Drosophila melanogaster: one gene and its partner. The protein of the gene in region 2 binds, or shares a complex with, the protein of the main gene of each other region. Each region holds a gene or a part of one and is shown on either strand. Other genes may lie near its edges. A codon is read from its position in the direction of its gene.

Region 1 (8,051 bases), 1.8 Mb from region 2:
GAGTTTTATATTTTTTCTTCAACTCTCGCTTAGATATTAGGGCTTAATCGATAGACAATTCGGTTTTATACATAGTACAATAAATAATACTCAGTCTTGCGTAATACAATAATATATAACAGATAACTAAAAACCAAAACTAAATTTTCTTAGAGGGAGGGAGAGGGTACATTCTCGGAGATATATGTTATTACATGGGGCAAACAACATTAGCAGACGATGCAACTATTTACAAGTGACTAAGCAATTGGGCTGCTACTCCCGGCCCTAAACCCTCGACTGACCCCTTATTCCCTGACCTCTGACCCCTGGGTGGGCAATCACGCGGCAACAACAACGACCAATGAGGCGCAATCATCGTCGGCAGGCGCCGCCGGCTGTAAACTTTGTGCTACTGCCACTGCAACTGCAATTGCGGAATCGGAATCTGAATTATCCACCTCCTCATCCTGCCGCCCACTTGGCATGTTAATGCAAATGGCAGGCGTTGCTGTGGCCAAGTTGCTGGATTCCGAAGAGGATGGCGACGCGGATGCAGACGTGGACGATGAGGAGTCGGCTTTATCCTCCTCCACTGCCGCTGCCGCTGACAGCTTGCACTTTTGCAGCTTATTCAGCGGCTCCTGCTTCTCCCAATTGGAAATGCAATGGTGATGATGATGCACGGCCGCCAACGAGGGATAAACGAACTTCATGCCGTAGGCAAAGTGCCGAGGCTGATGATGCAGTGCCTCATCGTAGCTGGGCAATCCGGTGGCGATTGTGTAGCAGGGCGGCGATTCGATTTGGTAGAACCCAGCCTCGCTGCTCCGATGATGTGGATGCTGCATCTGCTGGTGCAACAGCAGTCTGCTGGCATCGCAACCAACCAGGTGCGAGGAGTACGAGTCACTGGCCGCATGGATCTGGGCACGTATGTCCTTATCTGCAATAAACAGAAGACGGAGTTTGTTAGTTGAGTTTGTCACCAGAAAGTTTCTATTGTTTAGATGGACAGAGAAAAAAAAGGGACTTTTTGGGGCAAGCAATGCAGAAAGCACAAATTAAGATTCTTTAAACATTGAGATATAACAATATTCCACGTAACTAATAGTTAAAATTAAAATTCGTTTTTGTTTAAAATTTATTTCATGATACTATTTTTTTTCATTTCTTGCTGTGTAGGAATAGCGGAATGGGTGCTTCCCAATCAGGCATCAAAGTTTTGACTCTGTCATTACTTTGTTTGTCCATGTCAAAGGACATTTGTAGAAGGACGGGCCCGTGGCATTAAATTCAATTTAGCGTAAAGGCGCAAACGCTTGAACTTTCCCGAATGCAGAGGCAAAAAAAAAGGCGAAAAAAATGGCAAAAAAGGGGAAGCGGAAAGTTTTGTGCTGACCGGAAATGCCGGCGAGGATGGCAGGACAGGCGAAGTTCCTTCACAGCGGACTGACTGCCACCCAAGCAACAACAGCAACTAGGCAATAATATGCCGGAAGTGCGCGCGTGGCAGAATGGAATGAAATAAAATACTCTCTCGCATACACACAGACACACAGGCTCACACATACACGTTCGCCAACTGCCAACTGCAATGAAATAAAAGCTCGACAGCCCCGGAAAGTAGGCAGCAGAAAGCATTTAATTTTTATAATGCCGCAGCTGCTGTCCATGTGTGTGTGCTTGAGTGTGTGTGTGTGTGCATGTTTCAAATTAAGCAGAGTTAAATTAAGATTGGAAAATTCCAATTTCCATGCACACGCGCTCTAAGCCGAGGCCATCAAAGAATTTAATTTGGTTGTATTTTGAGTTACAGCAGATTAAAAATGCATGAAGCAATAATTTGCCTCAAATAGAATTTCGGCCCAGCATATGTGGCATTGCAAAAAGTGGCAGGTATTCAGTATTATTAAATGCAATTTAAACTGCATTCAATAAATAAATAGGGGATCGCCTCTGTCCATTTTTTGTGTCATTTAATTTGGTTGCCGCCTCGCTGTGGAAAAACTCGGCAATTTTTTAATTGTTCAGGCTGTATTTTTCATAAATTCTCTGTTCCCGAAAACGCTTTTTCAATTAAAGCGCATCTCGCAGGAAGGAAAGGTGGTCGGTATTTCGGTTTTTGTGGCATGGGGTAAAGCCTGTTGAAAAATTTGCGCATTACAATATTAAAACGCAGCGGTAGCAGAACCAGTCAGCAGTTACAGTGGCTGCCAGCAGTTGTTGATTTATTGTTATAACTGTAACACACACACACACATATATAAATCCTTTTTTTCGGCCAGAACACCCTACATGAGGACTCTGTCTCTTTGTTTTCCCTTTTTCGACTTTTGTTTCCGTGCTTTTTTCCTTGCTCTCTGTTTGATAGACAGCCGGCAAACGGGGCCCTGGACTAAGGGGGCGTGGCCCACTCATACACAGACTGCAGGCTTCATATTTTATGCAAGTGTTGAACAAACAGCCGCCCCTGAAAAAGGTGTACCCCCCCCTCCCCATCCACCAACTCAGCCGCTTCAAGCATTGCAGATGGACGCAAAGAAAGTCGGAAAATCGGGAAAAAGGTGGCCGATGCACGCAGAAAATTTATATTACTAACTAGAAGTCCTATGGTGATATCAAATGTCTTTTTTTTATTCACTTTCTATTATGCAAACCAGTTAGTGATGTTATTTTGAGGAAAATAAAATATCACTAACGGAACAAATATTTAGATACAAAATTTAGTTTTTATTTCGCTCTCTGTGCGGTTGGCAAAAAAAAATTAACGCCATTCGTTGATGCCTTTTGTTTTTCAGCTGCATTGGCACTTTGCCTTCTTTCTCTTTATTTTTGCATTTGTATCCTGTCTTTTTTCCCCATTTCTGTTGTCGATGCGCCCAAATGTATGCAACAATTTAAATTCATCGCAATAAGCTGGCACTCTCGAATGGAAACTGGCAAATGGAAAGCAGTGAGCTGCTTTATTTTGTGTTGCCATAAATGTCTGTTAATTTTTTAAACGCCCCAACTTTTCTGGCTTTATTCGATCTGAGTGGAGTTTTTTATTTAAGAATTATGATCATTGTATTTAAGCTGCTTTCAATTGTTATTAAGCCGCCCATTGAAATGGGTATTCGATTTCGAGTGTTTCCATTTTTCCCACACAAAAGATGCAGTCTCAGCCATTAAAACTTTTGCCAGCTCTATTATGTATGCCTTTCCCATACCACTAAGTGCTGGTCGGCTACAAAACAATTTGGTTAATTACAGCACTCAATTTGAGTTTGCCAAAATGGGGGTAAAAAACTACCAAAGCAACTAAAATATTTTCCATGGCCGAAAAAGAGAGCAGCTTCTAGTTTTTCTGCGCTGCTCGCTACGAAAACCATTAAAAATTTAAAAGGACTGCCGGGCTAAGAGCAACTTTTTCTGGTCTTGGGCAAATATGCTACGCTTAATTACATTTTTACGCAACTAAATTATGCAGGACCTATACAACATGATAAACAGTGGCTGTTGCTCCTCGGCTTGGCTTTGGCTTTAATTTAGTAACTTCATCTGGTCTGTTAATAAATTCAGTCGTAGTCCTCCGCTGCACTAATTGATAACAAGCCAAAGCCAAAGGACCGAAAGTTTGCCATCGCCAGTGTGTGTGACAGTTTAATAAATAAGGTGTAAGCCTGGCTGCCTGGCTGGCTGAATGGCAACTGGGCCAGACACTCTTGTGTTTGGGCCTCGTTAAGCATTTATAAGGTAAACACTGCGAGACGCCACGTAGCTGGCATTAAATGCACAAAAGCCGAAGTGAACTCCGGCCTAGTTGCTTAATTATAAATGACACACGTACTTCTCGTATCCCAGTATCCCAGTATCCCGGGCAACCTATCCCACCAACCACTTGCTATCTATCTGGGCCATAGGACCAGGGAAGAGCACACAAAAAAAAAATAGAAGCACAGAACACGACACTAACGAAACTAATTAGACGCATTGGACGGCCGAAAGCAGGCAACACATATCGCTCAAATTGATATTTCACGTATATATATATATATATATAAATGGAGCTTTCCGGATCCACCCTTCTTGGTCGCGTGTCGTAATCGCAGGGCAAAGTTTTTAAGGCTCGTTAGCACAAAATTGACAGTTTGACAGTTGAGTTGGCCAGGCTTTAAGGCCACGGCCCTTTGGCCCAAGAAGTTGTGCTCACAGTCCCAGGAACAGGACGAAAGTTTGCTCCTGGCCGTAGTCCTTCACTTGCTGCCCGGCCTAAATAAATCATTTGGCTAAATTGGTCTGCAAAAAGTTTGACACTTGAGTCGGAGTCTTGTTAGTTGTGTAGGTTGTTTAGCCAGCCCCTCCAATACAATTCCATTTAGGTTCTGTTCAGTTCTGTTTGGTTTAGTATGAGTTGGGTTCTTTGTTGTGGTGCTCCGTAATTATGTGTAAAGTGCCTAAACATATGATTTATTTTTGGGATTGGGATCAACAGGTTTCGAGCAGATAAGATATATATTTACATGGGCTCTATTTGGGTTGAGTGTTGGTAATCTGGGTCGGATTTAGGTGGGATTTTGATAACAGTTGTGTCAAACTTGATTGATTTTGGATTTAATACTGGACTGCCAGAGCTGAACTAAAAGTGTGAGAGATGTCAGAAAAATATGAAATTCAATTTTTAATGTTTCTAGGTCCTAAACTAATATCAAACAAAATAAATATTTTACAATCTCGCCCACTTACAAAGGCCACATTTCCTCAGACTTTAGCTACGCAGCTGAGTGATATGGTCCATCATTATTTTATTATATTACTCTTTACCGCCTCGGCCCCCAAAACAAAATATATAAATATCAAGGCACAATTTCACGCCTTTCGCCTGCAAAACAAATTTCGGGGCAACAATTCCAATTTTTCGAGGGAGAAGGGTCGACGAGGTCGTCCATATTCTCCAGCTCGTACATTATCGCTATCATAAAAGGGGCACAATGCCTCCGAGGCGAGTCAATTTAATATTATAAATATGCGGCACATATATTTTGTGGCATAATAAACTTGTGTATCTAAAATTACAACAGAACGATGCAAACGGCTGGCTGACAATTTCGAAGCGCGCCAAAAAATTTATGAGGCTTTGCGGCCATAGGAGCTCTATGGAGCAAAGCTCCCAAGCTGATGGAACCGATGGGTGGTGGTGGGACCTGTTTCGGTTGCTCTTTCTGTTTCTGCATTTTATATTGTTTAGCCAGCTGAATAAATGGCCGGAGATAAGGCTTTGGCGAAACATTTTGATTAAAGTCGAGCACATAAAAGCCAGATGTATGGCATTTTGGGGGCGGAAAATGAGTGGGGATTATATTTGGGTGGCTGTCCGACTGAAACTTACTGCATTTTTTCCAAGTGCGGAACTTCCTGTAGAAGTAGCAGCTGAAGAGGATGAAGACCAGCGACAGAATGACCAGCGAGCTGACCACTCCGATCCACAGATAATTGATGATCACATGCATGTCGGCATCCCCGAAGATCTGGCTCCACCACGAGGATTCGCCCGATTCCTCGGACCTATCCCGCAAGTCGGCCAGATCCAGAACCACCGACTTGGAGAGCTGCTCGGTGCTGATGCTGCCATCCGGAGACCAGCCGCTGGGTGGAGCGGGATCGTAGGACACCGCTGCGTTGCCAATCCTCTGGAGCAGGGCGTTGAAGGAGTTGAGGGCGTCGATGTGTCGCAGATCGTGGGCACTGGGTATCTCGAAGGTGATCTGATTCTGCTGCAGGTGCTCGGCAATTGCAGCGGGACTCATGCTGCTGGCCGGCGCGGATATGTACTCCGCATAGAGCTCTTCGGCAGTTGTGGTGGTCTCCACTGTTGGATAATCCGTGGTGCTAATCATGGTGATTGCCTTTGATTTATTTTAATTTGTAAACTTTATTTTCTGCTTGCGTCTGGCACACGCACACAACTGCTGGCACACTCGCGTCACGACACGTAAACAAATCGTTTGGCTCTATATATAAGTCATGGGTTCGATTTCGGGTTTTTTATTTGCCGTAGAGTTTCTATAGCTCGATTTTCGGTGCGTCCGTTCGCTGGAGCGGCTATAAGTTGACTGACTGCTAGCTGGCAGAGCATAATACCTACATCGGGTCGCTGAGAATGCCATGCCATGCGGGAAATTTGCCATTCCACTCACTCATTTTCTCGATTCACTCGCTCTTGAGTGAGTCGTGGGCGAGGCACTCAAGAAATCAAGTCAAGTCCTTGCTTAAAGAAGCATGCAATTTCTGGCATGTCTTTTATGTTTTTAAATGTTTGACGTCCTTTCGCCTTCTCCCTGCCTTATTTTTTGCTCTCCAGCTGACCTAGTTTGACCAAAAACTATATTTTCCGTACGAAAACCAGAGAAAAAAACGCTGTTAAGAAGGGAAAACTTCACCTCGGTCACGTTCGTTGTTTAAAGTTTTTCCAACGCTTTTCGGTCTTGTGTTTTTCCAGCAAATTGCTTTGTGGCAAAGTTTCAGTCTGTGCTGATTTTAATGAAAGGCAAAAAGGGGTTCTGAGGCATTTGATAAGCCTGAGCGCGAAGTTTGCGCCAAATCAAACGAAGAATTATGGCCAGCTAAAAGTTTTGTTTGGGCCATGAAGAATTTATGGAAATTATGTGACGTCTAGCTTTTAGCCATCTTAAACTAACCCAGTTTTCACTGGCTTTAAAGTAGCCCAGAGCCCAAACTGTAACCAGAACTCAAAATCTCGACCATTATGAGTCCCTCGAGCGTCAGGATACCGCAATGCTTCCTGCTGCCAGCAGTTGCTGTTGCTTCCAAAAAGGCTAAAATGGGGTACAAAACAACAAAAAATCAGGAAGGGGATTCGACCCACAGCACGCTTCATTTCTGCTCATGCTGACCATAAGCCGGCAGTGTGGCAAAAACTCAATGCACAAAAGGCTCCGACGACACAAAAACGTGCCAAAAATATCCTGCTCAGAAAGTGGAACAAATGCACTGCACCCGAACTCACTCCAATGTCATTCGAAAACCCACTCGAAAACCGGTTCTTCTCGGAGAGACTTGGACTCAAAAAGGGAAATTTTCTCCCACTTGATTGCGCACTCTCTCTCTCTCTCTCTCTCTTTTGCAGTTTTTCTCGCTCTCTCTGGTGAGTGAATTTTCCCATTTCCCTGGCGCAAAACCAAACTAAAAATGAGCAGTCGATGGCAGTTGCCTTTGAACTGCCCTGGGTTAAAGGTCACACGGTGTGTTGTGGGTGTTTCAAAATGTCAGAGGTCTTGGGCGGCTGGAAAATACGTAGTTTTTCCCGACAACTACAATGTGTAGTTTCGACTGCCTCGTAATTGCCAGGGGGAAATTGAAATAGATGCCCGATAATAAGCACTTAGCTAGAGACCAAAGTCACTCGATAAATGCATTAAAAACTTTTCCGAGCCCAGGCGAAAACTTCTGCACTGCACTTTGGCAAGCCGAGCTTATCGTTAATTAGCTTTCGACTAATTTTGAACTTGAGCATAAGTTTTAACTGCAGCGATTTTAATCAATGCGTGTTTGCGGGCATACTTCAGTACGTTGGGTAGTTCAGGGAAACTTTGATGGCCTAAATGCAGCTAGAAAATAATCATTTCCTTGGTATATTTAATAACTTGTTGGTCTTTGGTGTAGTCGAAATTCGTAGTGGTAACAAAATAAGTGGGACTTAATATAAATCAGGCTGTACAATAAGAATAATCATTTTAATAATTTTATATATTTTTAAAGCATGAAATAAATGCTTTTGTACAATTTTAGCAAACAATGGAATTAAGTTTGGCATCACAAATATTTTCTTATGCTAGCCCACTCACAAATGCAAACTATACTCGCAAACACTCGAAATAATTCACTTGTATACCACCTTTGTAGAATACCACAAAAAATGTCATCACACAATTTGATTTGTTGGAATTCCTCTTTGAGCTTTCAATAACATTTGTTCGCATTTCTTCGTTTGTAATCCAATTTTGATGGCAATGCAAATTAAATTCACATCACTTGACTTGTCGCATTCAATCTGCTCGGATGGAAAACCA
Region 2 (4,766 bases):
AAGCTGTTGGCTGAAAGCTTTTTAAAATGACAGCTTAGCCCTGTACTCTTTTTGTCTTCCTCTCGCGTTTTCTCACTCCCACTGTTGACAGCTGCCATCGAACAAGTGTCTTTAAGCAAAACAAAACAAAAACAGCTGATCGGCTGCGCCGTGCGTTGATGTGAGTGGACTATCTATGTGTGCGTGCGTATCTGTGTGAAATTTGTATTTTGGGCTGGGAATCCCTCCAATTCCATTAATAATGTTCAGCTAAATAGCGTATAATCACTTATAATAGACATGAGAATGTTCTGACTGCTGACGCAATGGATTCAATGGATGTAATTGACCAGCTGTTGACTGATAAGCGGCCCATTAAGGCTATCCGCTAAGGCAATTGTGACGTCGACTGTTCTTACAAGTGCGTCGATTGGCCGACGTCACCGCTTGCCGGCTGACGTGCAAATTGGATTAAATAACCCAAATAACAGAGCTCAATTAGCGGGGGCATACAACTTTTGCGGCAAAAAAAGCACTAATGAAGATAAGCCATTCATTCATACACCTCCCACTTTTTGGACAGGAATTTCGAGCCATTCTGACAACGCTTCAATGAGTTCGACAAACAGAATTGAAGTGCCGTCAAATAATCGCTCATTGAGTGAAAGCAAACAGAGCAAACAACCAACACTGGGATACTAAAAAAGAAAGTAAAAGAAACACAAAACAAAATGTCAGTTCATAATACGTTTAGAAACTATGAATAATATAATTCTGCGAGTTCTGTTAGAAATTAAAATACTTTTATAAACCATTAAACATAGCCTAGGTATTAAAAGTTAAAACAATATTTTTCTCTCTGTGCAGCCAGAAAACCATAAAGTGTAGACACACAACATTCAAGAGGCGGCGGCCAAGAATTGTGTTGATAAATTAAATTAGCTTCGAAGATGCCGATGACTGCTCAAGTGGCTAGCATCTTTGGCAAATTAAGATAAATAAATTAGTTTAGTTTCCGTTCGGCCTGAGATGGCGAGCGAATTATTTGTTTATACAAGTGAGCAAAACAATAGAAAAGCCCATTCCAGACACTAAGTAAACAACGATGATGCCAGTTTATTTTCTGGCGGCTTCCTAATACTTTTCTTGGCACTTTTCTGCTCTTCGGAAAGTGCAAGTCAAGAAATGTTATTCGATTTTAAAAAATCCGCAAAAAAGCTACTTTTTCTTTAACATTATAAAGTAATTGGTACAAGCAAACAATGACTAAACGATAAAATGTAATGTGCTGTATTAAAGGCCCTCCTAAAAAAAGACTTATGGAAGTCACTCCTGAAATACAACTACATCTAACTTAATGGTTGACGAAATGCAACGACCTTTACACCGTAAAAGCTAGGTATTGGATAAGAACAGTTCGTAAGTTTTTCGTGCTTTTCGGCTTCTGAAGGAATTGTAGATCCCCTACTTTTCCCACCATACATATATCCCACTTTATCATCCATGAGGGGAGTGAAATCTACATGGCCCATCTACACGACTCAGCTGTTTGGCAATCTGCAGATTAGATTAGTAGTGAAAACATCGTAAAAATGGAAACACTAAATACAGCGGAGGCACTGATAAGGGCGACCAAATCCCCCAGCACCACCCGTTGATAAATACTTTTCAAATCTTCACACCAACAAAATGGTGGATACATTGTGGGCAATTCCTTATAAAAGGTTATAGGAATTGGTTGGCTTAGTTTTGATAAGACAACATTTCGGTATGCCCTTTAAAATGAGATACATTTATTGATTAGTCAGTTTGCAACGAAACCAAAACAATTGATAAGAGTATCTTATAAGATGTCATAGTAAGTAATACCTTACTATCTATTAAAAATTGATAAACATATAGGTGCCACGGTCACTATTTGGTGTTATGATAACTTAATTTGATACATACGCGTTTATATAACCCATAATTAGTTAACTGGCTTTATCAAAAATGGAATGAAATTTTTCAATCAGAGTTGGATGCGTTGTGAAATAAGGTTGTAACCATAAGGTGCTCCTACAAAATTCCTAAGATGTTAGAAGAGTTCCTAAGTTGTCCTTCAAGGTAAAGCTCTCTCTTTTCGTCGTCACCTGCACTTATGTAAACTTACCACTGCTGCCAACGATCTGCGAGGAGTGTAACCATTTCCAAATTCCTGGCGCGTTTGCTGTTGTCCCGCAACAGAGGCCGCTCGCCGGCGGGGCGGCGGGCGTGGCACGTCGCCGCCGGCCACCGAGGAAGAAGACGACGGGACGGGAAGGGCCGCCGCGGCCACCAAGCCGCTGGAACGTGCCGACATTGTTGTGTTGTTGTTGTTTGTTTCTTTTAGAGAAGCTTCTGCAATGAAAGAATGACGGAAGGAGAGAGGGTGAATATGTGCAAAGCGGAAGTGCAAATTAAGCGATAAATGACACGAAGAAGAAGAAGAGGAGGCTGCCATAAGGTAACAAGAGGGGGAAGGGTGTACAGAAGCGAAGGAAAGAAAAGCGAACAGACAACAAAGACAGCAAACAAAGTGAACAACGGTACTTGTGCTAGATGCCATCTCTGTCTGCCGCCCTGCCCCCGTGCAAGCGTGTTTCTAGTGTGTGTGTTGTGTGAATGAGGTGTGGGTGATAGAGCACAAAAGCCAAACATTTTCTTGATAATTAGCCAGGCGCGAAGCCATGTCTTTGTAGACCATTTATGGTTAGCATAAAGTTTCGCCCAAGTTTTCCACTTACGTTTACACACGCACAAACACGGGCCACTATATTTTCGCCCGATTTATGTATATATTTTGCGGTGGTATGCGTGTGGGCTCGCCTTTATCCACTATTTGCGGAAAATCATCACGTACTTCTATCACACGGCAAATTCTACACTGCTCACTATTCAAGCGATTATCACTTTGACCGCTTCGGCGGCGCACATGCCTTAATCGCCGATATCGGTCGGCTATAGGTGCCTGTATATATGTCGCACGCGCAGTATTAAATAAAATTTAAACACCGGACGGGAAAAATGCACAAAACGGCGACAAAATCGAGAACAAAACTGCCAGAGTGACCGTGTACGCGCACTGAGAACATACCACAGCACCCAGAAGCCTTAACAGTTAAGGGAAGCACTTGTTAAATTCATAAAATGGCTCGCAGGCTTTTATTGAACCAAATATTTATCAAAATAAGGTGAAGTTTCCGTAAAGCATGAAATTTGTAGTTATTATAAATATGTATATTATTATAAATTTATTAAGTAAACTAATTTGCCACGCAGCTAGTTTGGGTATTGTTCGGTATTATCTGAACACCAACGAACGGCCACACGCAAGCAGTGAAAATCCCAATGAAACGAGAAATCCAATAAGTTTTAGCGTCAATGTGTTGCAACGGTTGGTGCATTTATTGATTAAAAGAGACAAAATACCGAACCCCTTGACCGCAGAGCCAAATAATTCAAAAACACCCGACTTTAAGCCACAAAACACTAGAATCAACGGCGGTGCAGCAGCAGGAAGAAGAGGAAGAGAGGTGCGTGGTGCGTAGTTAGTTAGTGGCGAAATTGCGTATTAGAAACGAAAACAACAAGCAGCTCTGCGCGGGCCAGCAAACATTTCGAACAACCATTAGCCAGGGCAGAACAAGCCGATCCAACGTGTTGTCGCATTCGCAAAGGGAGTATCGAAAACTGATTACATGGGTCCGACGGATCAAGACTGGATCGGCTGTGCAGTGTCTATAGCCTGCGACGAGGTCCTGGGCGTCTTCCAGGGCCTGATCAAGCAGATTTCTGCCGAGGAGATCACCATTGTGAGGGCTTTCCGCAATGGCGTGCCGCTGCGAAAGCAGAACGCCGAGGTGGTCCTCAAGTGCACGGACATTCGCAGCATCGATCTCATCGAGCCCGCAAAGCAAGATCTGGATGGGCACACGGCGCCGCCGCCAGTGGTCAACAAGCCCACGCCCGTCAAGCTGCCCCACTTCTCCAACATCCTGGGCAAGCAGCAGCAGCTCCAACTCCAGCAGCAGCAGCAGCAGCTACAACTCCAGCAGCAACAGAAACAGCAGTTCCAGGAGCAGGAACGAGAACAGGATCTGCCATCGACGCCGCGGTCAAGGGCCAACGACAATGGACGGGTAGCGGCTGGCGGAGCATCGAGTTCTTCGGGCCCACGTGGCAACTTCAATTCGGCGCTAAGCGATAAGATGCATCAGCTGAAGCTAATCGAGACCAACGGCTCAAATGGCACCCTTAGGTAATATGGCCCATTAAACGATTGTGCAATGCCAATAATTTAAATTAATTGTTAGCTCTTTATAAAAAAAAAAAGTATGAAGATTTTTGCAGTCAGCACGATTGTGTTTATTTCATTTCATTTTGAAGCCATCTTTATGTTTAAACTTACCAACCTTGAGATACGAAATGAGTAAATTACCTTTATTACTGATAAAAAGCAACAGTCGTTTCAGATAGGTCTTGTGCCAACTGAGCGTCGTATTTAAAATAGGTTTCATCTAACTTTTATATTTGTTTCGTCATCCAGAACACCACAAACATCCCGTGCGTCCAGCGCTCAGCAGCAGCCGCAGATATCAACGACTCCCAACAGCGTGGCCGCCTTTTTTGGCAACATGATACCGCCGAAGGTCGAGGTGAAACTGGGCTCCTACGTGAGCAACACCCGGGAGAGTTACTGCAGCAGCAGCGGAGATAGCGGCGAGGCAACTGGTTTGTCGTTGGGCAGCAGCAAACCCATAGATATC

What was found.
Region 1: the proteins of Nedd4 (region 2) and comm are in contact, whole or in part, in an NMR structure (PDB 2EZ5), measured with the Drosophila melanogaster proteins. Residues at the interface, in NP_648993.1 of Drosophila melanogaster: Gln538, Ala540, Pro541, Asn542, Phe546, Ile548, Asp549, Arg553, Arg554, Thr555, Thr556, Trp557; in NP_001261891.1 of Drosophila melanogaster: Thr227 (codon at 755), Gly228 (codon at 752), Leu229 (codon at 749), Pro230 (codon at 746), Ser231 (codon at 743), Tyr232 (codon at 740), Ala235 (codon at 731), Leu236 (codon at 728).

The regions. Positions count from the first base shown.
Region 1 is NT_037436.4:15,722,347-15,730,397, forward strand, and holds the start of comm (commissureless), read right to left. Parts: upstream 6,085-8,051; 5' UTR 5,859-6,084; coding exon 5,351-5,858; intron 926-5,350; coding exon 321-925; 3' UTR 1-320. UniProt on the Drosophila melanogaster protein: Controls axon guidance across the CNS midline by preventing the delivery of Robo to the growth cone.
Region 2 is NT_037436.4:17,528,401-17,533,166, reverse strand, and holds the start of Nedd4 (Nedd4), read right to left. Parts: upstream 3,087-4,766; 5' UTR 2,745-3,086; intron 2,359-2,744; 5' UTR 2,321-2,358; coding exon 2,132-2,320; intron 1-2,131. Other genes in the region: Edc3 (enhancer of decapping 3), read left to right, coding at 3,699-4,258, 4,547-4,766. UniProt on the Drosophila melanogaster protein: Essential E3 ubiquitin-protein ligase which accepts ubiquitin from an E2 ubiquitin-conjugating enzyme in the form of a thioester and then directly transfers the ubiquitin to targeted substrates.